7 linked regions of the Bombyx mori genome follow. The protein of the gene in region 5 purifies or fractionates together with the protein of the main gene of each other region. This does not show direct contact. Links are inferred from orthologs where the notes say so. Each region holds a gene or a part of one and is shown on either strand. Other genes may lie near its edges.

What was found.
Region 1: the proteins of splicing factor 3B subunit 3 (region 5) and coiled-coil domain-containing protein 97 purify together in Homo sapiens (affinity purification with mass spectrometry; 3 studies listed by BioGRID and IntAct, counting the BioPlex papers as one, with this or other methods). This does not show direct contact. The link is inferred for Bombyx mori from reciprocal best matches to the Homo sapiens genes SF3B3 and CCDC97.
Region 2: the proteins of splicing factor 3B subunit 3 (region 5) and structural maintenance of chromosomes protein 1A fractionate together in Homo sapiens (co-fractionation; 3 studies listed by BioGRID, with this or other methods). This does not show direct contact. The link is inferred for Bombyx mori from reciprocal best matches to the Homo sapiens genes SF3B3 and SMC1A.
Region 3: the proteins of splicing factor 3B subunit 3 (region 5) and 14 kDa subunit splicing factor 3b fractionate together in Homo sapiens (co-fractionation; 5 studies listed by BioGRID and IntAct, with this or other methods). This does not show direct contact. The link is inferred for Bombyx mori from reciprocal best matches to the Homo sapiens genes SF3B3 and SF3B6.
Region 4: the proteins of splicing factor 3B subunit 3 (region 5) and pre-mRNA-processing-splicing factor 8 fractionate together in Homo sapiens (co-fractionation; 4 studies listed by BioGRID, with this or other methods). This does not show direct contact. The link is inferred for Bombyx mori from reciprocal best matches to the Homo sapiens genes SF3B3 and PRPF8.
Region 6: the proteins of splicing factor 3B subunit 3 (region 5) and small nuclear ribonucleoprotein sm d2 fractionate together in Homo sapiens (co-fractionation; 4 studies listed by BioGRID and IntAct, with this or other methods). This does not show direct contact. The link is inferred for Bombyx mori from reciprocal best matches to the Homo sapiens genes SF3B3 and SNRPD2.
Region 7: the proteins of splicing factor 3B subunit 3 (region 5) and U2 small nuclear ribonucleoprotein auxiliary factor 2 purify together in Homo sapiens (affinity purification with mass spectrometry; 4 studies listed by BioGRID and IntAct, with this or other methods). This does not show direct contact. The link is inferred for Bombyx mori from reciprocal best matches to the Homo sapiens genes SF3B3 and U2AF2.

The regions. Positions count from the first base shown.
Region 1 is NC_085118.1:10,065,537-10,069,157, reverse strand, and holds coiled-coil domain-containing protein 97, read right to left. Parts: upstream 1,831-3,621; 5' UTR 1,749-1,830; coding exon 705-1,748; 3' UTR 636-704; downstream 1-635. UniProt on the Homo sapiens protein: May play a role pre-mRNA splicing through the association with the splicing factor SF3B complex which is involved in branch-site recognition.
Region 2 is NC_085114.1:15,703,828-15,708,717, forward strand, and holds the start of structural maintenance of chromosomes protein 1A, read right to left. Parts: upstream 2,958-4,890; 5' UTR 2,825-2,957; coding exon 2,713-2,824; intron 2,368-2,712; coding exon 2,247-2,367; intron 1,825-2,246; coding exon 1,725-1,824; intron 973-1,724; coding exon 824-972; intron 539-823; coding exon 370-538; intron 1-369. UniProt on the Homo sapiens protein: Involved in chromosome cohesion during cell cycle and in DNA repair. Central component of cohesin complex. The cohesin complex is required for the cohesion of sister chromatids after DNA replication.
Region 3 is NC_085111.1:9,664,422-9,667,890, reverse strand, and holds the end of 14 kDa subunit splicing factor 3b, read left to right. Parts: intron 1-2,080; coding exon 2,081-2,312; 3' UTR 2,313-2,521; downstream 2,522-3,469.
Region 4 is NC_085114.1:12,602,647-12,606,831, reverse strand, and holds part of pre-mRNA-processing-splicing factor 8, read right to left. Parts: coding exon 4,061-4,185; intron 3,832-4,060; coding exon 3,640-3,831; intron 3,200-3,639; coding exon 3,005-3,199; intron 2,851-3,004; coding exon 2,679-2,850; intron 2,378-2,678; coding exon 2,264-2,377; intron 2,121-2,263; coding exon 1,947-2,120; intron 1,673-1,946; coding exon 1,479-1,672; intron 1,254-1,478; coding exon 1,038-1,253; intron 931-1,037; coding exon 765-930; intron 1-764. UniProt on the Homo sapiens protein: Plays a role in pre-mRNA splicing as core component of precatalytic, catalytic and postcatalytic spliceosomal complexes, both of the predominant U2-type spliceosome and the minor U12-type spliceosome.
Region 5 is NC_085117.1:14,808,203-14,812,387, forward strand, and holds part of splicing factor 3B subunit 3, read right to left. Parts: coding exon 4,164-4,185; intron 3,975-4,163; coding exon 3,808-3,974; intron 3,506-3,807; coding exon 3,301-3,505; intron 3,120-3,300; coding exon 2,980-3,119; intron 2,623-2,979; coding exon 2,396-2,622; intron 2,209-2,395; coding exon 1,758-2,208; intron 1,337-1,757; coding exon 1,062-1,336; intron 160-1,061; coding exon 19-159; 3' UTR 1-18. UniProt on the Homo sapiens protein: Component of the 17S U2 SnRNP complex of the spliceosome, a large ribonucleoprotein complex that removes introns from transcribed pre-mRNAs.
Region 6 is NC_085132.1:3,761,734-3,765,412, reverse strand, and holds small nuclear ribonucleoprotein sm d2, read left to right. Parts: upstream 1-1,734; 5' UTR 1,735-1,810; coding exon 1,811-1,812; intron 1,813-1,914; coding exon 1,915-2,167; intron 2,168-2,459; coding exon 2,460-2,564; 3' UTR 2,565-2,815; downstream 2,816-3,679. UniProt on the Homo sapiens protein: Plays a role in pre-mRNA splicing as a core component of the spliceosomal U1, U2, U4 and U5 small nuclear ribonucleoproteins (snRNPs), the building blocks of the spliceosome.
Region 7 is NC_085123.1:10,727,137-10,731,916, reverse strand, and holds the start of U2 small nuclear ribonucleoprotein auxiliary factor 2, read right to left. Parts: upstream 2,947-4,780; 5' UTR 2,822-2,946; coding exon 2,806-2,821; intron 2,732-2,805; coding exon 2,159-2,731; intron 1,883-2,158; coding exon 1,800-1,882; intron 726-1,799; coding exon 603-725; intron 493-602; coding exon 405-492; intron 318-404; coding exon 164-317; intron 1-163. UniProt on the Homo sapiens protein: Plays a role in pre-mRNA splicing and 3'-end processing. By recruiting PRPF19 and the PRP19C/Prp19 complex/NTC/Nineteen complex to the RNA polymerase II C-terminal domain (CTD), and thereby pre-mRNA, may couple transcription to splicing.

The sequences.
Region 1 (3,621 bases), on a different chromosome or scaffold from region 5:
CACACTATTGTCAATGAAATTGTAAAGGTGGGTAGTGGCATTCCCGTTGTAACATCTTTGGATTCCAGTAACCACTCAACACTAGGTGCCCTGCTTCACATGAACACAATAAATATTCCTAACCTATCTTGTTGATCATAAGTACTAGCCATTCCTATGTGCTTCTGCTATTTTACGCAGGCAAGTTGCTGTCAACCAAAAACTCTTACCTAAGCTTACTGCAATGAAAATAAAAATTTTTGTTCAGTACAAATAACAAAGTAATATAAAAAATAGTCTTTATTCAAAATTAAAGACAGACCGATCTGATTTTTTTCTGTATTTTAATACTATCACTTTTTATTGCGAATTATTTTTTTCATTCTAATGCTTGTGACTTCAAAGGTACATCGCTTGGTCACTACCTACTGCTGAGGATTCTTTTCAAACCTCATTTAAAGAAATATATGTTATAGTGCTCAGAAGAGTCCAAAATTGGATGGTACACAACAAAAAAGTATGTGAAAATAGTGTGGATGAGCAGTGTTTTGCATCTTATGAAATAATCTCTCATCTCATTTTTTACTAGTTGAACTTAGACAGAAACTTTAACTGATAATAATGTTGATGGTTTATGAGAAAAGAAAAGACATTGGTTGGGAAATTAACCTAAAGATTATAATTACTTTAATATTATTGAACTTTTCATATTAGTAAACAATCATTTAATTCAGTTGAAACTTCTTAGATATATGCTCCATAAACACATCAAGAGGGTCATCTTTTTCAAGATTATTTATTTTACTTTGACCATATTCCTCTACAAGGTGCATGTGTTCTTCTAAGTTCTCAACATCATTTGTTTCAGAATCAAAATATTTATCTTCTGCATCTTGTGACTCCTGCTCTAAATCATCATACTGCTCATCATTATCAATAGTTTTATAATCAATGTCAATATCATTACCATCTATAAAGCTGCTATACATTTCTTGAAGGAACTCATCATACAATAACTTCTTTTCTGGAGCACTAATAACTCTGTGTTTTCTGTTTTCTGGAATATAGTCAGGTTTCGTATCTGGGGTAGTGAATTCACCCCATTTTCTTTTGTGTTGAAAATTTATGTTTTCATTAGTACTATCATTCAAAGAAAATTCAGAAGCTTCTGGTGTTTCATGAATACCTTCTTCGAGCATTTGCACATTCTTCACCTCTCTCATGTGGTTGTGATCTACAGTTTCCAATATTAAGTTAAGAAAACTGGCGTTTTCAGTTATTCGATCTCTTTCTTTTATTTCTTCATCTGTTAAATATTGCCCAACCAACTGTTCATATAAAAGAGGATTTCTGTACATCATTTGTTTTTCACTAAAATAATCAGTTTTAATCTTCATTTTTTGTAATGCCTTATATCTTCTGTTCTTTATCCTCTTGCGTCTGCTTGTTTCCGAATGATAGTCACTCAAATAGTGCACGTAATTCCTAAATGTTTGATCTTTGGAGCTAGAGATATTTTCAAAGTATTTTATGTGATTAGGAGCTAAATATTTTCCGAATTGCATGAGGAATTCTACAGGTGATCTTTTATAAATTTCAAGGGCCATTTGCAGTTTCTCACATGTCCTTACCGGTTGTTCATTAGCATGGGAATTCTTAAAGGATATATTTGCACTTCTTACTAGGTAGTCAATGATATCAGTTACAGGATTCACTTCACTTTCGTTGAATTTATTTTTTAAATTAATGTTGATTTTTTCCATTGTCATAACAATAAATCTCTAGTAATAATTATTTATGTAGAGCATAATAGTAGTAGTTTGTAGTTTTATTTTTCCAACTGGAAAGGCAAAAGTGTTACACCATAAAGCCAAATCTTAGATATTATATATATAGCACAAGCTATTTAGTATTTGTAACATAATAGGTTGGGAGAAAAGTTTCTTCGCATTTTGTAAGAAAATTCACAACATTTTTTAATATAGGAAAATAGTTTATTTACATTTAACTAAAGTATGCAAGTACCATTTTGTTCGATAACTTTTTGCCATCTTGTAGGTAGAGACATGATCCCATTACTATAGAAAGGACAATGCCCAAAAGTGGGCCAACTTTATGTCAAAACTATTTGTACTTGAAAAACTATGTCTTATTTTTTCACGTTGTTTAGTTTATGTATCAACATTTCTTTCACCCTGGCATTGTTTTACAAAAAAATAAATTACTTATTTGATAACATCCCAAAACTAAGTGCCATGGTTTTTAAATTCGTCAATAGGCAAAGGGTTTAGCCCATACAGCCTTATAGTAAACCTTTTAGTAAAGTATATACTGCCAAACGAAAGAGTTGTCTGTGACTTGAACAATAAATTAAAAAAAATTGCTAATGGTTATAATTCACAGACTTTTAAGTTTATTTTTGTTCAATTCTATATTTATATATTGTAATAATAATTATTACTTAAAACCATGAATTATTTAATATTTTTAGATGTTAATGATTCCATTAGTAAAAATCTCAATGGCCTACCATTACTCTATTCTTATTTTAAATGATCAGAGTTTTGGCAGCAACCCGAGTTAAGCGTCACTTGAAGTTTTATTTTAATGTTTTTTTAATAGTTTATTGTGATGTATAATATATAAATGGGTGTTGTTTTGTGTATTAAATGTCAATAATCGTTGTTCACGATGGTTGGGACATTGGAATAAAACTGTGGCTAACATAACTGTCTTTTTTTCAAGATAAAAGGTCTGCGGAAATTCACGCTCACTCAATGTGCTATTCATCGAGTTGACGTCAAAACTTCCAAAAAGCAATAAAAAGAGATACACCGGCTTTTTAATGACATAAAAAAAATATAACTACGACAGACTAGCGTGTATAAGCCACGCTCTTTGCCTGCTTATTCATACATGCTATAATGCGATAATACTTTTTCCCCAACCTATTAGATAATACTGTCTGTTTTTACTAATCTGTCTTATTTTTTATTTGCTATTATGTTGACTTTTTGGCGGGAAAGCGAGGAGTGAAGCTGTGTGATTTGTTTTATTTTGTCTTTTTAGTGTTTCTTCAGGTTTAAATGTGTAATAACGGTGGTTTATTAGCTGTTTAATATCTGTGAAAGTGCACAAATGTGGGAAAATGAAACAAAGCCGCTGGACATAACTTCTCGGGATCCTCCATAAAGTCCACTGAAAAAAATGTTAGTAAATGACAACCACTTTTCTGAGATTATATTTCATCCTATATCATCTCATTTCATTTCATTTAATTTCATCCCAGTTGATTAATGTCTCAAATTAATAATCTTCATTTCATTTTATTTCACTCGATGTTATCATTTTCATAAAAATAAGAATATAAATTAAAATAAGACTTGACTTAAAGGTCTTAGTTACGAGGTCATAAAATCCCTTTAAAAAAACTACTCCGCTTTCACTGTCATCAGCATAGATTATACACTTAATATGTCATCAGTGTCATCGTTGTTGAATTTTGATTATTTTTGATGATTTATTAATTTTGAACTTTTTAACATCAAATCAATGAGAAGTAAACTAGTGCTTGTTCAAATCAACAAATATTATTCAAAATAAAAGGAAAAAGATAAAAATTAAACAGTAAACTGATAACTT
Region 2 (4,890 bases), on a different chromosome or scaffold from region 5:
GGGCGTTTTTGTGAAGCTTTTACAGGAGAATTAAGTATTAGAGAAAGATCGTCCATCTCTGAATCTAAAGAAGACCTCCCTCTGTCCGGCGGGACATTTTCGCCCACCGAGGACGACATTGACATAAAAAATACACTTACCAGTTAAATGAAACTTAAACTAATCCACCACCAACAAAAATAGGGCAACACAATTCTTAAAAACACAGAAAAAACGGGAAAAACACTAAAAATAATCGAAACGCGTGTGATCTCGAGGTTGGTATAATTATAGTTTAATTCATTGCTGTTTTCATTAAAATATACTCACAAACATGATTGCAATGCTTCCACATTTTTGTAATATGTAGTTTAATAGTTTAATTCTCACCAATTCTTGCTTAAGTCTTGTGTATTTCTCCGCTTCTTCCTTCTCAAACTTTGCTTCTTTCCTCTCAGCTGCCACTCCCTTCTTTTTCTGATAGGAGAATTGAGCCTCCTCATCAGCTCGGTTTACTTCAGCACGGCAAGCTTCATACTGTTCCTTTAACACTCCAGACCTACATATTAAATATTATATGTAATTAAATAAAACATATACTGCTACTAGTGTAGAGGATGCAGAATTTACTGTATGGTCGGGTGGTACCAGTGGATGGTAGTATGCAATTTTTTATTTCCTCTAATTGTATTGTTTGATTTGAGTGAGGGAGCAAATAAGTTTGTATTGAAACTTTGATTAAAACATGTCTTTTAGGTAATCTTTTATCTATTGTAAAAGACTAACGAAGTTTGTGATATAAATTATGATCATGATGGTGACAACACTTAGAAAAATATGTTACCCGCTGATCTCCTCAAACAGAGTAGTCCTTTCTTTAGGATTCTTCATGGCAATGCTCTCGACGGCACCCTGGAAGACTAGGAAGTTCTTGGCTTTCACATTGATGCCCAATTTCTCTAGTTCACCAAGATAGTTACTTACTGATACAGACTGTTAAAAAAAGGATTCATTTATTTCATACACATAGCACATCTGATCAGATGTGAATATACTGTACATATGGGAGTGCTGGTATGCCTGAACATGAAGTTGCTTTGCAATAAAAAGCCAATCAGGTGATGTCCATAACCTATGATTTCATATTACAAAGAGAGCTTCACTTCAGATTAGTTTCATCATCTTTTTTTTTAGGTTAAATAAGGCTAAGGCACAGGCTCAGGGCTTATCTAGTGTGAAGTATCTAGAAATCATATTCATCACAACCATTCTGGTTTACCATTGCTTTAATCACTTGAGACATTCTACTGGTTTTCATTTCTACTGGTGGTAGGACCACTTGTGAGTCCGCGCGGGTGGGTACCATCACCCTGCCTATTTCTGCCGTGAAGCAGTAATGCGTTTCGGTTTGAAGTGTGGGGCAACTGTTGTAACTACCAAGGTGGGTGGCGCATTTACGTTGTGGATGTCTATGGGCTCCAGTAACCACTTAACACCAGGTGGGCTGTCAGCTCGTCCATCCATCTAAGCAATAAAAAAAAAAACATAAAATTAAAGTCATATTATAGGGCTGTCCCCCTTTCAAATGAGAGAGCATGGCTGCTTCGTGGCAAAAATAAGCAATGAGAAGCCTAATACATGGTGGCCCACCCTTCACCTGCATTCTATGGGGTAGATCACCAGTAATCCTTGTTATTCAACTTAACATAAAACAGGAACTTGTTACAAAAATCACAATCTTTTACCTGGCCATCAATTTTATGTTCAGACGATTGTCCAATCACTGATCTCTGGAAATGTTTCTCAGTCATGTCTTCCAGAACAAACGTTGCCGTAACAGATGCACTGGAATAAATTCATGGTTAAATGGATCAAGACATTAACATTTTTAACTATACTGAGACCTTGGAACTGATATCTCAAGGTGGGTGGCAGCATTTACGCTGTACATGTCTATGGGCTCTGGTAACCACTTCACACCAGGTGGGCCGTGTGCTCGTCCACCCACCTAAGCAATGAAAAAAGAAAAAGTAACCTATATTGAGAAATCAATTATTATTCAGAGTAGTTGGGTAGTCTTTCTATAAATTGTGATTTATTAATTGAAAATTATTAAATTAAAAAAATTCTATCTTATAATTGTTCATACAACACAGAAGTCTACAGCACAAGTTTGGTTTAAAATAATTATTCTAAAAAATATAACTTTTGAACATTTTGAAAAAAATATACAATGATCTTGTTATCAAGTGGAAAGAAGAATTCACCTTCGAGAAACAGGTTTGTTGATTGAAGCACCATGGATCAAGTCACTCAACCTCTTCACACGCAACAATGATGTCTTCTCACCCATCACAAAGCTCACAGCGTCCATGAAGTTGGACTTTCCTTTTAAGAAATGTAAATTTTAAGTTATTTGTTATAACAGTGGTCTAATGGATTTTTTTTTACAATTTCACAAAAAAGCAGTATTAACAAAGAAGTTCCCTCGTAATTGTTTTTAGCAAAGCAGGAAACTTGTTCTTTTAATTGGTGACAATACTACTATTCATAAAGCAACTTCTGTTTGTTGGAAAAGCGAGGGAAACGTTTTGAACACGACGCCTTAATGTATTTCAATTTTTGTTGAAAATGAAATCGGTGTTCGCTCTATAGCATGAAAATAATAATATTAAGAAACGGTTAAAAGATAGACTATGGGAAAAATGTAAGGTTTTCTTAGGTCATTAGTACCTGATCCATTAGGGCCAACAACAGCGGTAAAAGACTTCAGAGGACCTATGCGGTGATGTCCTCTATAGGTCTTGAAATTTTCCATATCGATATATTTAAGAAACGCAGGCATCTTGATTAAGACTAACTCCCATGCAATACTGTAATGCTTTTAATTCACAACACAAATTAACAAGCGCCAAACATAATCACGAATTGTTTGTACAAATGTCAAAGTGAAACTCAATTTGACACTAGCTTATTTGACAGTATTAGTTTTCCATTTTTCCAACATGAACAGCGAGGGTATCACACAATACAGCGTAATTTTTACATAATATATTTCCCATTTAAATGAAAGTGAATATTATGTAGTGAAAAATGATTTGAATGAAATGAAATGAAGTTGATTTATTTGAAATCGTAATCAATTGGGATGATATTAAGTGAAACTAGATAATGTGAATAAGTTCTCAATAAAATGGTGGCTATTTTATAAGACTGCAGTAGACTTTTTGGAAGAACCCAAAAGCCTTGTTCAGTAACGTCCAGCAGCTTTTCGGTTTTGTTTCATTTTCTAACATTTATGCACTAAGCAAATAATAAACCACCGCTATTACACGTTTAAACCTGAAGAAACCCGACATTAACAAAATAAAACAATTGCCACAGCTTTGCTTTTCGCGTGCCTGCCAAAAAAGGACTACACGAACGTTTTATTGAGTAATAAAACGTTAAAAAGATATATTGCAAGACACTGGCATATATTGCTGAGATCATGGACTGATTGCCAGAAAATATACATTTTGTAGATAGACTTATTCTAAATAATAAAATGTATTAAAAATTAAGTTATAGTTAAGTATTTTGACGCCTATAATTCCATATAACGTGTTGCAATTGATGTGACAATAAAAACCAGCAGCGTAACGACAAGTTCTTTTATTTGTGCAAGAATGCAGAAAAGTAGTTAGAAATGGCTGGCACGGCTTGTTTTATTAACACTATCCCCCCTTCGTTGGCTTTGGCTGGCGGCGGTGGCGGTGGCTGTGGCGGAAGGGGCGTGTTAATATGGCTTGGCGGCTTGGCTGGCGGCAGGGCATGACAGCTGACGTCACGTCCGTTACATTCGGCCATCCTGCAACAATTGCTCCCGCAATGGGGAACACACAAAAACATTTAGTTCTCAAATAAATCAATAAGGTCTTCAGTTTCGAGCTGCTCATCGGAACTACTAGCGCTATCGGACACATGGGCTATACTTTTATAGGGCTTTAATGAATCTGTTGATACCAGGCCAGTGAAGTTTTTATAACTTCGTAAACCTTTTAGATATACTTCTAATTCGATAACAATTGTTACCTACTACTTTAGTTACTACATACGGACCTGAGGACAAATCGTCTAATTTGGTATTAATCCTAGCGGCGCTACTAACCAGTTGGCGCCTGTCTCTAAGATACAAAATGCCTTTTCTTATAAACATGAGCTTTTTTTTTTATATTAATGTTGTGTGTCATTATTGTACTCGCTTGTTTTATCCTAGCTGCAGCTATCTTACGCCGTGCGTCAACAGTTTCTGGTTCGAGACCAGGAATCGAAACATCACATATTGACCTACCAGAGCGCACAAAGATTAAATCGCAAGGCTTGTAGCCGCTGTTACTTTTAATTGTGTTGTTTGTGCCTCAATTGACGGAGTTCGCTAAATTATTTGAAGCTTCACTAGGATCAGTTGCCCGCAACACATAAAATTGTATGTTTAGTTTGTTCAATTAGCGCGCGGACAAGCAATACCGTTTAACGTATGCCTAAACTGTTTATCTTCTGATATATTTTTTTAAAGTACCTACTCGTAAAAGCTTTCCCGTAGTCTGTCACCACGTGATTCGGGTATCTGGACAAACCCTATTAATATATTTTTCAATGCACGAATGGTCCCGATTGAATTTACAGTACGCGTTAGTTCAGCTATCACAAATTTAGACAACGCATCTTTCATTACGATCATGTACTGGTTGGTGGCCTTTAGATGTCCTACAGAAGGGCATCATGTTATATATTTGTACCATGCGCATAGTATCAGATGGTTTAGAGATCGGATATAGACAGTCTTCTTTTTTTTAACATATTTATCCTTCTCATGTGTACAATAAAGACATGCTGCCACGTATTTCCTAATAAAGCGTGTCATTTTAA
Region 3 (3,469 bases), on a different chromosome or scaffold from region 5:
TGATTCCAGCTATCCGGATCTAACCGAAACACAACTTGATAAACTTGAGCGGCTACAAAATTTCTGCATAAGATTCATATTTGGGTTACGGAAATATGATCATATATCTGAATTTCGCACTAAGCTCAAGTGGTTACCAATTCGCCTTCGCCGCAATACTCATGTCCTTTCATTACTATACTGTACTCTCTTTAACCCCCATACCCCTACATATCTCAAAGAACGTTTCGAGTTCCTAGGTGATACGCATAATTTTTCTCTGAGATCATCAGATAACCTGAGACTGAAAATGCCGGTGCATTCATCATCATTCTTTGACAATTCATTCACCGTCCAGGCGGTTCGATTGTGGAATGCTCTGCCGGATGCAGTGAGAAGTGCTCCAACTTTAAACTGTTTTAAAAGAATGGTGAAGGAACACTACATAACTGCTTAGTGCTGTTTGTTGCATCATTATCATTTATAATTTCCATACTGTTGATTTAATAAGTGTGTGTAAATATATTAGTATGTATTGTATGTAAGTATGTATATTGGTATATATTATATTATGTAAACGGTATATATCTGTTTATTATATGTATATATTTTCTATAATAATGTATTGTATATGGTACACCGCACCTGCTATATTTTTTATATTTTACAGAATTTCTGTAAATTAAACGGTTGTCTGGAAGAGATCGCTTTTAGCGATAAGACCGCCTATTGTACATATGTGCTTTTTGACTGTTTGTTTTTTTAAAATGTAAATTGTGTTGGTGTGCAATAAAGTGTATTCTCTCTCTCTCTCTCTCTAAATAAGTCCACTGACGACAGGATATCAAGCGGTTAATGAAGCTCCTCTACTCACAGGGCATTCCTTTAACACCGTAGGTCTTAGGTCAAAGTCCCTGTAGAACTGGAGTAATCTCCTGTGATACTTTTCAAAACATATTTTATGAGTGATTTGATGCAGAAATGGACAGGAAATAGTCGTATATAACCATACAGATGCATAACACAACACACAATAGATTTACGTTGATAGCACTAAAGAAAATTCCCCCATTTGTCGTAGTCGAAGTTTGTCGAGTCGAATACTCAATTCTATTGTATAAAATCAGAATGTATAATTATCTGATGTTTAGATTCAGATACCATTGGTAGTTTCTACTTGTGAGAGCTCACAGCAATAAAGCATATTTATTTTATTTTCTTTTATCACAGTATGTTAATAGTGAATTGTGAAATTTGCTTGTGAGCATAGGCTCTATGTAATTATACTTAGACAAATTGCTAGAATTTTTTTAGTTGTAAACTTGTAAAGCTATGAAAACTCATTTTATGAAATACACTATTATTGAACCCTCTCTATTGATAAAGCACATGATGTACCTTCTATCAAGTGAAACATTCAAATTGGTCTTTGAATACTGCAGACACTTACTACTTTTTGTAAGGAAATACATATTTCATACTTGTTAATGAAATAAATTCAATGATGAAAGAATAACATTTTATATAAAAAGGAAACCTGCAAAATTTATAAATATTCATAATTACTGGTGGAATTGTAAGCCTTAACAGGCAGAAAGCATCCTGCATATTTTTCTGAACAGATTGTACTTTGAATGGTAAAATTGCTAGTTTTAACAACTAACTTTTCAAGCTTATGTCTGGTGTGTAGCAGCATTCAGATTGTTGACTTTGGGCTGTGTTAACCATTTTCCACCAGGTGGATTCTGAGCTCATTTTAAAATCTAAGCAATAGATAATGAGATTTAAAATATTTAGTTGTGAAAGACTGGAACTCTTTTATCAATAATTTCTATTAAATGACCAAAAATATCATAGTAAAATTTGTCTGGCTATTTAAATTAAGAATAAGTAAGTCATAGTAATGAAGTGTGATTATGTTAATTAATGATATGATTTCTTTCTACTTGTTTGGTGTAGTACTTGTGGTACTTTCTACTACCTTATTTGGTGTATGTGTGTCAAATTTGAGCATTTGGTCATAAAATTGACATTTGATTTACTTTATATTAACCTAATAAGAAAAATATTTTTAAAGCAATCATTTGATTTTCAATTTCAGAGGGAACACTCCAGAAACAAGAGGCACAGCATTTGTTGTTTATGAAGATATATTTGATGCAAAAAATGCCTGTGACCATCTATCTGGTTTTAATGTTTGTAACAGGTATCTGGTTGTACTCTACTATAGATCCAACAAAGCCTTTAAAGGTATTGATATTGATAAGAAACAAGAAGAAATTGATACATTGAAAAAGAAATATGGAATATCTAGTGAAGATCTGCGTAAATGATAAACTATAAAATATAAGTTTTTTTTAAGTACAATTGTTTTTAATTATTTGATTTGTATAGCTGTGTAGATTTTAAGCCAGAGAACCTATAAAAATCTTATCATTAAATAATAATGTACCAACGCGCTTTCGTAATGTCTTCCATGATAAAAACCATAATTTTTTGATTTAGCTTTTAATTCTAATCGAAGTAAATCCTGTAGAATTTATTAACTTGCGTATTATTGGTTGGACAGGTTGAAAGACCAGGTACTGGTACTTGGTCTCAACCTGTCCTTTCTGCGCGAGAGTCACGTTCTTCCTTACACTAGGCATCATCCTCAGAGGGATGATATTCAGTCTCTACATTAAGTCAATACGCGACTAGGCTGCGTTCTTACACGGTCGATTCTACCCCATGATCTGTAACGAAGTAAATTGTCCTATCGTAACAAGGATACACTATGCGACTTACATCACGCGGCTTGCTTGTATATAAACCCTCCAGGTCATCCAATCCCATTACTGCAGGATAGCTATCGCAGCGTCATGGTACGTGAGGAATCTCGACCTTCACGACGATCTAAATTTAGAATCGGTACGTAAGTAGTAAAGCAGCGTCAGAATGCTACTTCGACAAAGCGGCACGATACAATAACCCTATTATCGTGGTCGCCGCGCATTACATATGTACCGACCCAGGTCGACGGAGCAAAGCAAATCCGTCGTCGTCCGAAACATTTCTTGTCGGATCCTTCGGATCTACTTTCGGTGCTTTTAGGCACTTGAAGCACCGGTCACCGTCCTCGTCCAAGTCGTCGATTACAACGAGTGAACTAACCAAAAGACAGCCCATCGAGTTTTTCGCCTGATCTTCTCAGTGAATAGATTCCATGAAGCACTGCCCTTGTTAGGGCTGTTGGCAAATTCTCTCAAGTTAGGCCCGTAATCTCACCGTCCGCGCGAAGCGGGAATAGCCCCTTAGGCTATCAGCAAACAGGTAGGAAAAAGAATAAAATTTTACAGGATTGGGCAGGCCTATTATTAGTAAAATGAAATTGCCGATTTGTACTGAAAAGTTGAAATATTTTTTTTCATTGAAAATTTTTTCATTTATTTAATCAAATAAATATCATTATTATCTATACTTTGCTGCCATATAATAGGATAGGTCATTT
Region 4 (4,185 bases), on a different chromosome or scaffold from region 5:
TACTTTATGTGTCGTAGTAGGTTGCAATTTTGGAAAACAAAAAACCTTGACAATAATAAAACACACTGAAGCGTACTTACATTTCACCATGTTGTTCTTTTAAAGCATTCAAGATCAATTTCGACCTATAAAACTGATTTTTACTCATTTTATAGACAAAAACACGAACAACGTGCAACGATTTTCTCACTTACTAAAGTTTCGCGGGAGTTTTGACGTTTATTTCAACCATTTCATTGCCTTAGTATCTGCATGAACCATTTTAAATCCAAGTAACTACAAGCACTTATTAGGTTTTTAAAATGGTTGATGTTATATACTATGTTCTAATCTTGTAATTTTTGCATTTTGAAAACCTTTACTGTAGATACTAGGTTTCCGACTTTGTGTAACTTCGTTTTTTACAAATTTTTGGGGGTTTTTGCTATCCTAATATGTGGAGAATGGTCTACAAGGTCGAAAAATGCAAAAACACACTTTTTTTTAAATTTGTCAGATACTAGGTTTTGAAATTGGACAGCCGAGATGTCTTGTATTTTTTGTTGCCATCATTTGTAGATAAGTAACATAGTCTCCTTGAAGGGGATCAGTGTCGTTAGTGGACACATGACCATGTGATGGCTGTACATTCTTTAATAATGTTGATTTTAAAACAAATTATTGAAAAGAATTGAAATATCCCATATATTTTACATATTTAGGGATAATCACAACAGTGTGGCCTGGTTTCACTGGTAGCTCATAAGGTAAAATTTATAAGTTACCTGTGCCCTTAAATCGGAAATGGTAACGAATTTCTTAAGTAGGTTCTTCGGCAGAATGTAGGTGTATCCGCTTTCCTTGATGTCATCGGAACTCACGTAAATATGATTTGTACGAAGATGTAAATTGGTGGCTGATATCGCACGGACACGCCATTCAGTCTTAGAGCTGCGAAAAACCATCCAAATTAAAACATGCCCCATACAATTAGTGGAAGATCATATAATCATAGCCATAAAAGTAATGTGAAAGAAAGAATTCCTAAAAAGTCTCACCTAAACGTCTGCGACTCATAATTGCTCGTCGTTGAGGTTATAATTTCATCTCCATGTTTGTTTACAGTACGCGTTGTGGTCGCGGTAAGTTGACTCTGTTCTTTACTCTGCTTTTCGATCTCGGCAATTTGTTGACGCTGTGCAGAGGGTGCAGATATCTCCATACCAAGAATGATGTCACGGATTTCCGATTGTGTGAGCGACGCCACATTTACACTGTTAGTAAAATCGTGTTAAAAGTTAATGTATTTTAATGTAGTTATGAATACTGCTAAAGTATTAAGGCTCCTGGTTACAAGATAAAATAGTAATTAAAAAAATTAATATATTGTTTTAAATTTTCAAAAACACTTAATGGGCATTTATCTGATCATTTATTTTACGAATTTGTAGTAGTATTTATGTACAATAAAGAGATTTATATTATTATTGAAAACTCACTTGTTCTTCTTTCCATAATCAGCTAATATTAGGTCCTTCAGTTGAACCTCAACTTTGATCCAATCATCATCAGTTAAAGTGGGCCAAATGTGGTGAGGTTCCGTGAAAGTGGTTTTATCAGGTTTCAAGAGGACCTTTGTGCGTTCTGTGTTCACGTGCAAAGCACGGAGTATCAGGATAAGCCGACTGAAGGCCTAGGTGTTAACAAATTATAATATTTAACAATTTTTCTTCAATTATTATTTTCACTTTTATTCAGTGTATATTGTTTAAATCAGTTAGCGTATTTTCAGACAGACAGAGCTACAGTACATTGCGATCAGCAAGTCCATAGTCACTGTTAGCCCCCAGAGCACAGGGACTCTCTGGTTTCAGGACCCCTACGCAATTCATCATTTTGATTATAAGATATGTTCATTATAAAATATTGAAATGTATTTATTTATCTTTTGAAGAAACATAACTTACAGTATATGAAGATATAGTCTTTAGCCAGTCATCATATAAGTTGAACAAGACCATTTGAGGCTCAGTTGCCTTCAATATGAGGTCACCAAACTTTTCCACTTTCAAACAAGCCTGGAATGGCAGCTGCAGTTCGGAACCCTTGATTACAATGTTAGGAAAGTCGAGTAAATGGACCTGTGGATGTTTAATGGATTGTTTAAAGTTTTTCACAGTATATTTTACATATTTGTATTGTATGAATGAGTTTATTTGATATTTATTAAAGTTAGTATGATATTTTGATTAATAAAACAAACTTCAGATATTATCTTATTTACCTCAAGTGGATCCAACATTCCTTTTCTGGTAACAATAATTTGTTTTGGTTGTTCTTCAACTGGCAGTGATCGAATTAAGGCAGCTACTTCTTCTGCAGTCTTCCATTTAGCAAGCTAAAAACCAAAGTTTTGTTTTCTAGCAGTTATCTAACATTTACGAAATTTTCAGGATATTTGGTATGAATTATTTCAATGCAACATGCATATGAATATTTAATGAATGAATCAACATACATATTCTACTCATTATCATATTCCAGAAAGAAAAAAAAACACAAAACCAGCCACATTTAAGATCATAAGTAAAATAGATGATTAGAATGAAATATATAAGTTTAATTCGAATTTAGTAGGTGATTTTAATGGGGATCATATTCTAGCCTCTTCTTTCTATTAACAAAAGTAAAAAACAAACCTGTCCAAGACGTTTCTGCCCTGCCCATACACTAGTATGAATTATTTTAAGGAATAGCTGTCCAGTTCGGGGATTGAATATAAAAATGGCTCCATTGATGGGTTTAGTTGTCAAGTTTCCTTCAAAGGTTTTGTGAATTGTTACACGATACACATTCGTGTCATCAACGAACCTGTTCATAAAATAAAATTAATGTGATCAGAAAAGAATAAATTTAATGTTTGTTATGTTACGTTTCGAAAAAAAAAAGTTATATGTACATAAAAATCTTGTTCAAAATTGATAGTCGAAATAAATATACATTTTTTATATATAAATATACGCACCAAATGATTTGATTAGAGAACAATTCTCCATAGTTCTGACTGGAGAGGTAAGGTTCAGTAGGTTCTGAAGAATACAATTGCAGTGCTTTACGTATACGTTCCCTAAGCACATACAAGGCAGGATTAGCTTTCATTATCTTGGCCATCGCTTGTTGAATAAGAGGTTTGCAACCGGGGAACCAGTTACCGTATGCACTGTAAAAAAATTGTTATTTTTATAACTTTGTTGATTATACTAAAATACAAACTGATCTAATTCTGAAACTCAATACCATCAGGTAATACAATAATTTGTATTTGTTTACTACAATAATGACACTTATTTAAACTATTTTAGAACTTCTCAAGTAAACTTCAATGAGTATTAAATATTTTGTCTAGAAATTACTATCGAAAATGATTGATTTGGTAAAATTTTCATTATTTATTTTGTGTCAAACTATAATTCAGAAATATGGCTCTGCCGCATTTTGAAAGACTGTGCTGGCCTTCTCAAAGAGGTTCGGAGACATATTCATTCAGATCAGGTAAGACATGAAGAGCATCTTGGCTATAAAAAGACAATTGTATGAATTCTTGATGTGATTCCTAATATATTATATAAATTTAAAATCTTTAGGATTACTTTCTCTTACCTGTGCAAGTTATAGGCCAAATCAATGGCGATCAGCAAACCGGTAGGTGAAGGATATATAGACATGTTGTCTGTAGTGTAATCCAAGAATTTAGCACGAGCATATCTTTCGATGTCGTGAGAATCGTAATCACCCCAACGAAGCTGTATATCAAGCCAGTACTTTTGTGTAGTTGTATTGTCCATTGTGTCCCTGTGGATTAATACAATTTAAGTAATAAAAAAAATGCTTCTACACTATGTGTATTCTAATAAAATATCACACCAAGAAAACTGTAGGCTTGTATTCTATTTATTCATTCAATTCTACTCAATACAAATAACTTTAATTTGTAAAATATGTTTACATTATTCTATAAAAAATTTCAATGAAATATCATAGCTATAGTTTCATTAAACATCAAAATTCATTGAATATTTACTTTGTATCGGCTAATAAGGATGGTCGGGACACGTTCCACTTGTAGGCTGAGAACAGTAATATATCGGCGCATGATGAATTCATCTTATAAGATTTACGAGGATGAATGGTTTCTTTCTGTACCGT
Region 5 (4,185 bases):
TAACTAATTTATAATTAATTAGAACGCATATCTAGTTCGAATGTCTTCAAGTTTTTTTGATACTTCAGCGGGAGTACGTTCCAAATCACCTGCGATGGCTTTTTGTTTTCCAGGGTCTAGGGAGTTAAACTGTTCACATAGATCTCCGTCAATCACATTCTGCAACAAAACAAATATCGCGATTTTTAATTGGCATATCAGAAATTGGACTGTAAGTAAATGAATGCAGTAATAAAGTGTTGAAACAGTTTATTTTTGAGCTTATTCCTTTCCAGGGCAAGAATAAAAAATTGTGCTTAGATGGGTGGTCGAGCTCACAGCCCACGTAGTATTAAGTGGTTACTGGAGCCCAGACATTACAACGTGAATGCCGCCACCCACTGATTTATGAGTTCTAAGGTCTCAGTATAGTTGCAACGGCTGCCCCACCCTTCAAACCGAAACGCATTACTGCTTCACGGCAGGAATAAGGCAAGGTGGTGGTACCTACCCGTGCGGACTCACAAGAGGTCCTACCACCTGTTATGCGAAATATCTTATGCGTGGGTTTGTTTTCCTTTCTAATCTGAATCTATACTAATATTATAAAGAGGAAAGATTTGTTTGTTTGTTTGTTTCGAATAGGCTCCGAAACTACTGGACCGATTTGAAAAAATCTTTTTCCATTAGAAGCCGACATTGTCCCTGATGAACATAGGCTACTTTTTTAATTTTTATTTTTTTTATTTTTTTGGTTTCATGTGTGTTTTAATGTTTCCGAAGCGAAGCGAGGGCGGGTCGCTAGTATTAGATAAAGTTGAACTGTTCATTCTAAAAACTACAGATAAGCTGATAACAGCGAACCCGACTCTCAAGAATGCAGCATCCGATCGCAAGGCGGCGTCACCATAACGGCAGATCGCACGTCGTGCATAACTCGTCAGCCTTGCTATACCAACAGTGTAACACAAATGTCTTCAGAATGAAGACATCTGCTGACTGACTGTCGGAATGTAATTTAAAATTTACTAAATTTATAAAAACGTCAATATTTTCCAATAATGCAACAAGTGAGTACATACCTTTACTGGGTAGTAATAACTTCTAAAAGATAAATGGTCACGCCCACATAATGGTGAATTTTCACTTCTCATATGCATCTCTAGATGTTGAAAGAAGTCATGATCTTCTCTTGATGTAAACGGTAGTAGAACGCCAAGAGACCCACTAATTGTTGCATATAGTAGTGCTTCAGAACCACCAGGAATTAATGTTGCTCTCTGTAGAGAGGTTACAGTTTCACCAACATGAAAATTGACCACAACATCTCCCTTTTGTGAAGCACCATTAAGTAAACCTGAAACCAATAAAGTTTATCTAAACATTACTTCTAAATTAATTTTATTTATGAATAAAGAACTTTAAAATGTACTCAGATTTTAAGTAGAATCATAAAAATTCATTAGTCTAGCATGTGAATATTTCTGTATCATCATTTGAAATTAGAATATATTTTATGGCCAGAATTTACTTCAGAATACTTCTTATTCTACCTTACTTCCATTAAATGGAAGTAAGGTAGAATAAGAATACTATCTTGCATATTATAGGAATGATGTATTCTGGTAAGAAAACCATTGATCGAGACATCCACAACTTCAAGATAAATGGTGGATTTTCCTAGCATCAATGAGTAAATAGGTGTAGTTTTTACATTAAATGTTAGCTTTGGCATTAAAAAAAGTTAAATAGTCTGCATATTAATTCACAGAACTAACCTCTGTCCCAAAGTGCTTTGTTTCCAGTAGGATCTTCATCAACATCATCACTTACAGATTGTGGTAACCGCATTATAGCCACATTACCAAATTTGTCAGATACTGCTATAGTGTCATAATCAAGAATACAGCTATTTGTTATCCATCTAGGATTGGTATCATCAGCAAAAATAATTAATTGATTCTCTCTTTTCTTATGCTTGACACAAAATACAGATTCTTGGACATCAGAAACAAAAATTCTCTGTCCAATCGTTTTTATATCTGCTATTAAATTTGGAATATGTCTATTTTCACATTTACGTAGGAGTTTTCGTCGTCCAATATCATATAATCTTAACATGCGTCCAACACCAGCTAGTAGTCTACCATTAAATGCTGCTATAGCACCAGGATATTCATCTACTGGAGTTTTGTGAACAAGTTCTAATTTTCCAGTGTTGCCATATATCTGAAAAACAGAATTCAAAGGTTTACATTTTGTAATATATGATAGCTAGCTTTTAATTTTTTTCTATAACCTCAGATCTGGTTAAGTGTTCGTCAAAAATCTTCAGATGAAACACGGAGCGATATAATTTTACATCATTGGAAAATCTTTTGTATTGTGTAAATTTCATTATTCGTTTTTAAGTTACCTTATAAACATGTAGACTGCCTTCAGTGCAAGAACGAGGAGACAGTATCAAATCCTTTGCAACACCAACCACAAGATGTGGTTGTGCATGTTCAGCATGTGCAGCCCATCTTACTATGCACAAAGAAACAGCTGCTTCGTTTTGCTCCAGTGGAAGTCTAAATAATGTATTGGGTTGACCCCCACCAATACCCATGTCAACAACACGAATTAGAGATGCCCACATGCCTGAAATAATGTTTTTTTTTACTATTTTGTGGTTAACCTTTTAATCATTTTAACAATGATCAATTATTATTTTCTTAATGTTTCCCATACTTGAATCAAATGATTAATGTTAGATCATTTGGGATTAATGTAGGGAATTTTATGTAGCCACATCCGATTAGAGACAGACTACTTTTATGTAGACTACTCTTGCCCAGAGAATGTGGCTATATATGAAAGCATGCATGGTTCTTTGTATAAAAAACTTGCAAGGGCCAAATTTTTAATGCATAATTTAGCAAGATAATTATTTTCTGGTTTGTTTATTGTGTAGTGTAAATTTAACCATAATATATCAGAGAAACAAAAGAAAGTTACCTGCTCCAGCTTTAGGTGAAGAAAAAATGTATTCAGGCAAAGTATCAGATAGAAAAGCATCTGCCATTTCATTTGCTAGTTGCTGTTCTTCAGGAGCACCTCCAGCAGCAGCTTCACGCATTTCTTGGGCCATTTGAATTCTACAATATATTAAATGTATTATAATATATAACCAAATAAAGTCTTATTTATTTTTTATAATTAATAGTTAATTCAGTACTGCAGGAGATTTCCACATTAATTTCAGGTTTGTGTGTCTTTGTTTCATCATTTAAATTGTCAAGTGTAAATTAAAATTAAAATCTGTCAAGAAAAAAATACCTTCTGTGTTTTTTCATTTCCTCTGTGTAGGCATTGTGATCAGTTTCTAAAACTATAATGTGATTGTTGTCAGAATTTATTATAAACTTTCTTGGTGTGTATTCTAAAGGGACAAATGTTTGATTGAATACAGCTCCCAATTTTTCTAAAGCCAAAATTCTCAGAGTGTTGGAAGATATGGCTACAATGCCTTCAGTACATTGTTCTGAAACACAAATGCAGTTTGTTTTTAATTTAAATTTTATTTATTAAAATATAATATTTACTTATTTAATATTTATATGTCCACGGCATGGTTTTGCCGCCTTCACAGTCGAAGTGACTCCAGCTTGGCTATGGAATATGCCGAGTGCCACCCTCTACCACAAGGGGAAGGCGACATGCTCTACGACGTTGTGGGCTCATCACTGTATGAGACAGCTACACACCACTCTTGCTTGGCTTCACCTGCAAAGGTAAGGCCAGGCAAACACGTCGATATTTTAAACAGTAATTTTTATTTCTTACCTGAACTAAATCCTGCTGCATATTCCAAACATTCATAAGATAGAGGTGTAAGGTGAAAACGATTTTGATAGTGATATCCTAGCCATGTTCTAGACGACACAGCTAGTACTGCTTCAGCAGCTTGTACCCTTACTTTAAATAACTTCACAGGTCTTGACCCCAAGTATCTGCAAAAAAAAAAACCAACTTAAAATATGATCATTTTCAAAATTATGTTTTCATAGTAGTAAGGGCTCTCAGATCTGGTTAATTACTCATCAAAATTTTCAGATGAAACACGGAGCGATTACAATTGTTAACATCATTGGCTTTTACAATAAAAGAAGTTAGTAATAGTGATTTGATTAATTAATTACCTAGTTCTAGTGTCTGCAAGAT
Region 6 (3,679 bases), on a different chromosome or scaffold from region 5:
AAAAGTTAACTCAAATTTGTATGCAGCTGGAACAGCAGCCCTAACGGCAAAGGAAGGCAAACGATCCCATTCCATACAAATATGACCTAACTTAGGCAAACGTTTTCAACCGCATACGTACCTACAAATTTGAGTTTACTTTACTTTATCGAGAACGTTAAAAAACTCGCACTAAGCACATGGGTTGGAATCGCGACCCACTGTGAAGACCCAACGAGAAACTCGGTGATCTCCGTCTATGGGTGAATTTGCTAGTGATCGACGAGTTCGATAAGGAGGGTAGCCGGTGATTGAGAGGCCTAAAGCACGGAGAGTGAATCCGGGGGATCTCACAAGACATGTTTCGAGCGACGGTGGCTTTGCGTTGCCGCGTCGCGTTCGGATAAGAGAACATCTCCTAATGGTTCAGCTGCTGTGGAGACTTACCGGCTCGAACGCACTGACAAACAGACAAAAATCGATTTTAAGAGTTCCTTAAACAATAAAATATACTGAAATCGCTTTCATTTATTTTCCTTTTCTTTAATACGGTAATGAAATAAAGAAATTTAATTGAATATGAAGTTCGTTAACATAAAATAAGCATGGCATATACAAAATTGCTGATTATATGATCATGACTTTGTATTTTAAAATTTCCTTAAGCGCCTTATTCACGATCCATCTTGCTGTACGTCCCGCCAAGGCCATGCACGATGCACGATGCATTTAGCGCTTTATTCACGATCCGTCACGGCTGTACGTCAGCTCAAGACCGCAGTGCTGGATGTATCAAGCGCGAACAGAATAAATCGAACGAATTAAATGAGGGTTTTAAGTTAAAATGCCAGCTGCTTTATCAAAACGCCAAAAATGGGAGTCCTTCTGATGTTGTCAGCAGCAGCAGAAGAGAGGCAAAAAATAGCAAGAGGTTTTGGATGATTTTTTTAAACGTGCAGAGTATACTCAAATAATTAATATCATTTTTTACGCACGCTATCAATCCTTGCAGCTTCCCCTAAAATGGGCCTAAAAATTGTAATACGTTTATTATTTTTGGTTTATTCATATAGTCTGCGCTTGAGACATTCCACAAAAATGTGGAACTTATAACTTTCAATAAATCTTGAAAGGGTTTCACGATCCATTTTGACGTGCAGTCTCCTTTCGAAACTCTTCGTTAACTTTAATTTCAGTATTACCACCGTCTTTTTACGATTTCATCAATGTCAGTGTCGAGTTAAAAACTGACATTTAGTGGCCATAATTGTTTGTTGAAATAATACTTTTTGGCGGGAACGCGAGGAGTGAAGTTGTGTGATTTGTTTTATTTTGTCTATTTATTTAGTGTTTCTTCAGGTTGAAATGTGTAATAACGGTGGTTTATTAACTGTGTATTATCTGTGAAAGTGTACAAATGTGGGAAAATGAAACAAAGCCGCTGGATGTAACTTCTCGGGATCCTCCAAAAAGTCCACTGAAAAGATCTCAGTAAATGACCACCATTTTACTGAGATTATATTATATTTCATCCCATATCATCTCATTTCATTTTATTTCATCCCAGTCGATTAATGTCCCAAATTAATCATTTTCATTTCACTCCATATTATCATTTTTCATAAAATTAAGAATATAAATTAAAATAAGACATGACTTACAAGTCTTAGTTACCAGGTCACAAAATTCCTTACAAAAAATTGTTGAATTAAAAAGCAGAGTCACCATAGACAAAATAAAGCGTCGACTTAGCGTGTGTACGATAGTTTTGCTGTAATTGTAATCTTTTTCACTCAATTTCTCAGTTCACAAGCCCATAAAATAATACAAAATGTAAGTATTAATATGATTTACGTAGTTTTAACAATATATTTAACATATTATCTGCTTAGCCGGTAATGGTCAACAATAACTCTAATGTTAACCTTATTATAGGACGTCAACAACTAAGCCACGCTCTGAAATGACCCTAGAAGAGCTATCTAAAATCGAAGAGGAAGAGTTTAGTACCGGACCTCTTTCCGTGCTCACGCAGTCAGTAAAGAACAACACACAAGTTCTGATAAATTGCCGTAACAATAAGAAACTCCTGGGTAGAGTGAAGGCTTTCGACCGGCATTGTAACATGGTATTGGAGAATGTTAAGGAAATGTGGACTGAGGTACCGAGAACTGGCAAAGGAAAGAAGGTAAACAGATGTTACTGTATTTCAGTTCAATTGATTCAGAAATTTGAGGTTATGTATTGGAAATAGGAACCACTCCCAAGCGCTCATGTATAAAAGTGCTACAGCTCCAACTTGAAAAGTACACAATAAGACATGATGTCGCGTATTTTAGGCCAATATTAGCGGAGATAAAATACAAACCACTGGAAATTCCCAAGATGACAATTATGTGGATATGAAACATTCTGTGTTAGCTCATTTCATTAAAACTCTTCAAATTCAAAATACGTATAACTTCTGGTTTTATTTTCAGGGCAAAGCTGTAAACAAGGACAAATTCATCTCCAAAATGTTCCTCCGCGGTGATTCTGTGATCTTAGTACTAAGGAATCCTCTTGCTACAGCTGCAGGGAAGTAATGCAGTAATTAGTTTAAGTATTAATGAATAAAATATTCAGGAAATGAATAGCTTTACTGGTTCATTCCTTAAACTGTAATAATACTTTTACAAAATTGGAAACTGTGTTAGTTCTATGATTCTGCAACTATATGTAATAAATAAACAAACTCGATATTTTAATATATTGAAATTGTATCAAGTTCACATATTGTAAGATAAAGCTAAAAACGATCAGTTATTATAATGATGCATTAAAAGAGTCTCACCAGTATTGTTGTTAATATTAGCATAAAATAACTTCATATTAGTGGCTGAACATACCAAAATTGAAAAAAAGATACTTACTTTTGGTGCAAGTAGTAACTAACAATTTTGTAAAATATAGATGCTTTAACATTTTTAAAGAAACATGGCAAAATTACAATGGTCAAGAAGTCCACAAACCTGTCAATAAGTTTATAATTTCTATAATAAACCAAAGTGTAAAAGTGTGTTTTTAATATGATTTTTTTCATAGCCCCTTATTAATTTGTGCAAATTAGATCTGATGTACATCATGGGATTAAGCTGTGCAGTCCAGTCCAATATTTTGTTAACATGTTGGTTTCATGACAGACACTATGAGTCCACAGCATACTTTCCCCTAGGGTAAAAAAATGTAGTGTTTTTTCAAAAATATTCTCAAGAAATTACTCAAAAGTAATGAGTGAGGTATGGAAACAGTGACTAAGTATTGTTTTCTGAGATATTTCAAATGGCAGACAGTGTCGTCATAGACCTAAGTAAATGGTTGTTACAGGGTGTCCACCATTCCACTGGACTAAACATGATTTCTAGTCTGGTGTTCAATGTGGTAATAAAATTAGAACTGAATATATGCAAAGGTCTTCACAATAAGGGAAGAACTTCATGGAACTTTCAAAAATGAAACTATAATAAAATTACTGTTATTACTGTCTGTTTGTTATACTGTCTGTTTTTATAATAGACAACTATGTATAATAGACAACTATATGTCTCAAAGCTATGAAATCTAAATCAAAGTGAGTATGTTGGAATACAACTGCAACAGCAGGTAGATATACTTCCTGTGGTGTGTGTAGTGCGAAAGAGAAATTAATGTAAGATATTTT
Region 7 (4,780 bases), on a different chromosome or scaffold from region 5:
AATATGAAATCTGAATTGTTACTTTACTTATTGGAACTGAGGTACCAATATGAAGATTTAATTTTATATTCTTGTTCTGATTTTGAACATTTTTAGATGAAGTTTAAGTGTGCATTTCATGTATTAGTGCTTGTGTGTGTGACATGTACAAAATGTTACTTACTTTATATCTTCAAGGATATCTTCATACTCCTCTTCATCACGCAATTCATCAGGTGTTACCATGTTAAGAAGGCACAATACTTCAGTAGGTGGACCTGCTCCAGCCAAGGTCAAACCTGCCACTTGGATTTGCACTGGAGCTGCACCGGTCAGTGCTGAAAAGTATCCCATTTCTATTTAAAATCTTTTATAATTTCTATTCTAAAACTAAAACATAGGTCATATTCTGTATTAAAATTTACCTAAAGTTGAATTCTTTGCGCCTATACTGGCACGTTGCACAATCAACTTTTTATCTCCAAGTTGCATTCCATTTAAACCTGCAATAGCCTGTGAAAATAAAATTAATTTATGATTTAAAGTTTTTTTAAAAATTAAATTGGCCTTAACTATGCAAAAGCCAATAAATTAATAAATTGGGTGACATAATGATTATTTACCTGATCTGTCATAGAAATGTCGACATATTCAGCAAAAGCATAGCCTTTGCTCAACCCAGTTGAAGAGTCTTTCACCAAATTGAAGGCCCGGAGTTGACCAAATGACATGAGTAATTCCTTTACCTGTTTCATGACAAAATTAGTGAGCAAATAATAATCTTTTAATTCCCAGCATTGTATTAATTTACGTTACATATTCATAATGATCAGCATAGACATTTCTAATGCTAATGTTTTTTGTATTGTATGTTTGAATTGTTGTGTTCCCATTAAATCTGTTCATCAAAATGCAGCAAATTACATAAGTGAATTATGCTATCTGACCTGTGTCTAGCCGCATGTTAGAATCAGATGTGAATGGAAGAGACTTGCCTTGAAGTGCCGATGTCTCGTTCAAGTACAAGACGTATAGATGAGAATGAGAGACAACAGTGACACGCGGGCCGCGAATGTGCCAAATCTAAGCTAGGGAGGGCAGAAAGCAAACTATATCAGTGAGTTGTTTGAGAACATCCGAGCGTGGTACGCACACGCTCGTCCACGCTACGGGTACCTGAAAATACCTGAAACGGACCAAAACATAACGCGGCTCACTGCTGGCGTCACCGGGGCCTAAGTCCTGTCAACTGTTGAATCTCGGCCTGAAATTGTTGCGGCATCTAGTACGCTATAACTACCTACTGGGAACGAACAAACTCATGGTTCTTTTAATGTCCTAACATTACCTAAAGTAGGATTTTGAAATAACTATTATAGTCCAAAATACTTGAATTTGTCGATCTAAGAGAATTCTATGTTTATCATAACCAACATAATTATTATTTCCATTTTGTCTGGTCAAAACCTGTAACACACAACTCTACAAATCACAATGAGAGAAGAATGTTGTATAATATAACCATTTTTTTATTATCAAAAGGTTTCTTTTAGTGGGAAACATAAATCAACCATAATTTATGTGAATTGAGTTTTCATTTGGTTTAAAAATAAAAACTTTTTGGTAAGTAGTACTTATAAATAATAGCTTAATTTGATCACATCAAAAATACAGAAAATAAGTACCTCTACTTTAATCCAAAAACCATGTGTAGCTTTAAAAAACTCCAAACTTGATTTTGATCATGATGTGATTAAATTATGGTTTCTTGAATGCTTAATTTCAACTATAAATTTTAATAGATAAAACAAGGAACTTACTTGGTCCTCATTTAGATAATTAGGCAATCCCCCTATAAAGATCTTGTGTGGGGAATCAGGTACAACAGTGCTAATAACACCAGCTGTAACAAAATAATATTTGAATGAAGACACTAGTAATGAGTATTTTAGTTGTAATTAATGCTGTTTCAAGAGTTTAAAAAGAGCTGTAGAATTATAACAACAAAATTCAGTTTATTTTAAATATTGCATTTTCTTAATAAAAAATAGCACTTTCAATCGAGTTCAAGACTCATTACTTGATAGATAAATCTATAGTATCTTCTAATGTAGTTTAAATGTATTTTTATAAGAAAAGTTGTTTGTAATAACAATATCACAATATCATAATTACTTACCAGGCACATTTATTGCTGGGTTTTCAGTGCCTGGCATAGGCTGGTAGTCATGTGGACGTCGAATCTTTAAGCTTTGCCCTTTAAAATTAATACCGTCAAAAGCCATTGCCTGTGTCGTTTCATCAATTGATCTGAATTCAAGGAATGCAAAATTTTTATCTAAATTAATCTGGCAAGCCAAAACAGGGTTGCCGGCGGCCTGGGCCAGGCCCGATAGATGCATTTGTTGATTGAAAAACTCCATTGTTTCTTCTTCGGTGACGCCAAAGGGTATGTTGCCGACATATAACCTTCGCGCTTGACGTGTTATAGTCGAACCCACCACCGGCACGGCAGCTTGTGGTGTGTCGGCGACAATATTGGCAGGAATCTGACCCGCCGCTTGCATCGCCTTGTATTGTAATGGCGTGATATGCTCGAATCCCGGCGGCGGTACATCCCAGTAAAGCGAAGGCTTACGTCTACGTGAACGTTTATTGGGCGATCTTGATCTGCTTTTTCTTTTTTCTCTTCGTTCTCTAGATCGAGATCTAGAACGTTTTCTTTCTCGGGATCGAGACCTTCGTCGGCGGTCTGTAATATTTGTGAGCATTTTATTTTATAACCTCACTTCAAAACTTTACAAGATAGATATGTGAACTACTTACCTTTATCTTCCCCCATCTTATTTACGGAAATATGTAATACAGTAACTATTTCTTGAGATAGTAATAAAGGCGCTTCAGCGTTATTAGTATAATTAGCGTTGGCATCAACATAAAATCTAAGTCAGTTTCCGTGAAATGGCGTCTGTTATTTTTTTATACGGACGTTGGTTACTCGACTTTTGGCTAATGATGCTATAGTGAATTTCCTGATACGTAATCATCACTAAAATCCTATGCTTGCCCTAGGACAAATTTCGGACGCGAACGCAGAACTGGTGTTTCCTCAAGTATAAATGTGTAATAATGATAGCTAATTAATCATTGATGTGCCTTTGGAAAACATACAGCATTGTATTATGAAGAAGCAGTGTGTACTTAGCTTAGATTCCTTGTCTATGTCCAACCATAGACAGTCAATTTAGTTCCATCTTTAGCCGCTAGGTGCTGCCAGCAAGTATAAAGGGAGCGCAGCCATCTTTGATCTTCATAGCGTTGTGTACTTTCGTACTGTGAAGTCGCAAGTCCACAAATATTTATTCGACTTCTTATTAATTGCAAAAAATATTTATTTTGTGTTTCTATGAGTGTTATTTTGCAATCATTACGAGTATTATTTACCAATCCTATCATCGGACGCCATGAATCACGCGTCATCTGTTGGAGGTGATGTTGAGTCAAGCTCCATAATTTCCGAGAGGGAAGATGTCCAGGCGAGACGCGATGGAGACGCCTCGCGTTCGAACAGCTCGTCAAGCGAAAAAGAACAAAAGGAGTCTCTGCGTAAGAAACGACGGGATTCAAAGGTAACGGTCGATCTTCGAATCGGCTCGTTATCCCACCAGGTCAGTGACGTTGTAAATCTAATAATGCATCAACTGTGTGTAACAATTGAATGTAACGAAAATTGTTGTAAACAAATTGATCTCGTCAATACGGAAATTTTGACAAAAACACAACAGATTTAAACTAATAATCTTTGTAACATAATTACTGAAAACTTTGACAAATCGTCTCCGTCGTACAAGTTACCCGTAAAAAGCGTTTTAAATTGTATACGGAAAAAAGGGCCGTATGTATAGAAATAAGACGTCAAAGTTTAATTTCCGTGGTCTCTAACAAAGTATCCTGTTGCCAACGCGCCACTCATTGAGGAATTTTTGTTTGATAATAGTAAATTGAAATCTATTCAGTCCCTCGGAGGGCTACAATCCTATTTGTCACGATCTCGTACAAAAGGTAAGCCAAACATTATAAACAATCATAGTCCGTAACATCTGGCACAATCCAGAGGGGGGCAATTGAAGACACCGACGGCACTGAGGCACTGAGTGCCACCAAAATTGTAATAATTTGTAAACCATGTATGGTTACCAAATACCGTAAAAAAAAAAAAAAAAACAACAAAAAAAAAAAAAAAAAAAAAAAAAAAACTACCTTTTTCTGCGGAAGAAAAGCGACGGATCAATGCGTCCAATTTTCGATCTTCGAGAGTTGAACAAGGTCGTAAAGATAAAACACCTGTTTTCGGACACCTAGGTACCAAACTTTCTCCACCCAGGGGACTGGATGATAGAATTGAACATTTCTCAGGAATATTTTTCTAGTATCAGTCGCAAAATTTCGTCGATACTTCTTGAGGATCAGTACCAAGGTACCAGTTCAGTACCTCCAGGAAGGAATCGGTACCTTCTTATGAGTTAGTATGAAATGACATGCCTACCCTTCGGTCTGGCTTCAGAGCCACACCTTTTTGCTTTTATAACATGCGGGTCGCAGAGACCTTGCGTGCAAAGGGAACTCGAGTGCTAGTGTCTACTAGACGACTTCCTTTTTGGTCGACCAAGACAAATCCAAGTTGAAACTTCAGGCTGCAGAAGCTGTGAAGCTTTTGGATTAACCTTTTTTGCTTCCATAACATGCTGGGTCGCAGAGACCTTGCGTGCAAAAGGAACTCGAGTGCTAGCCTACCTAGACG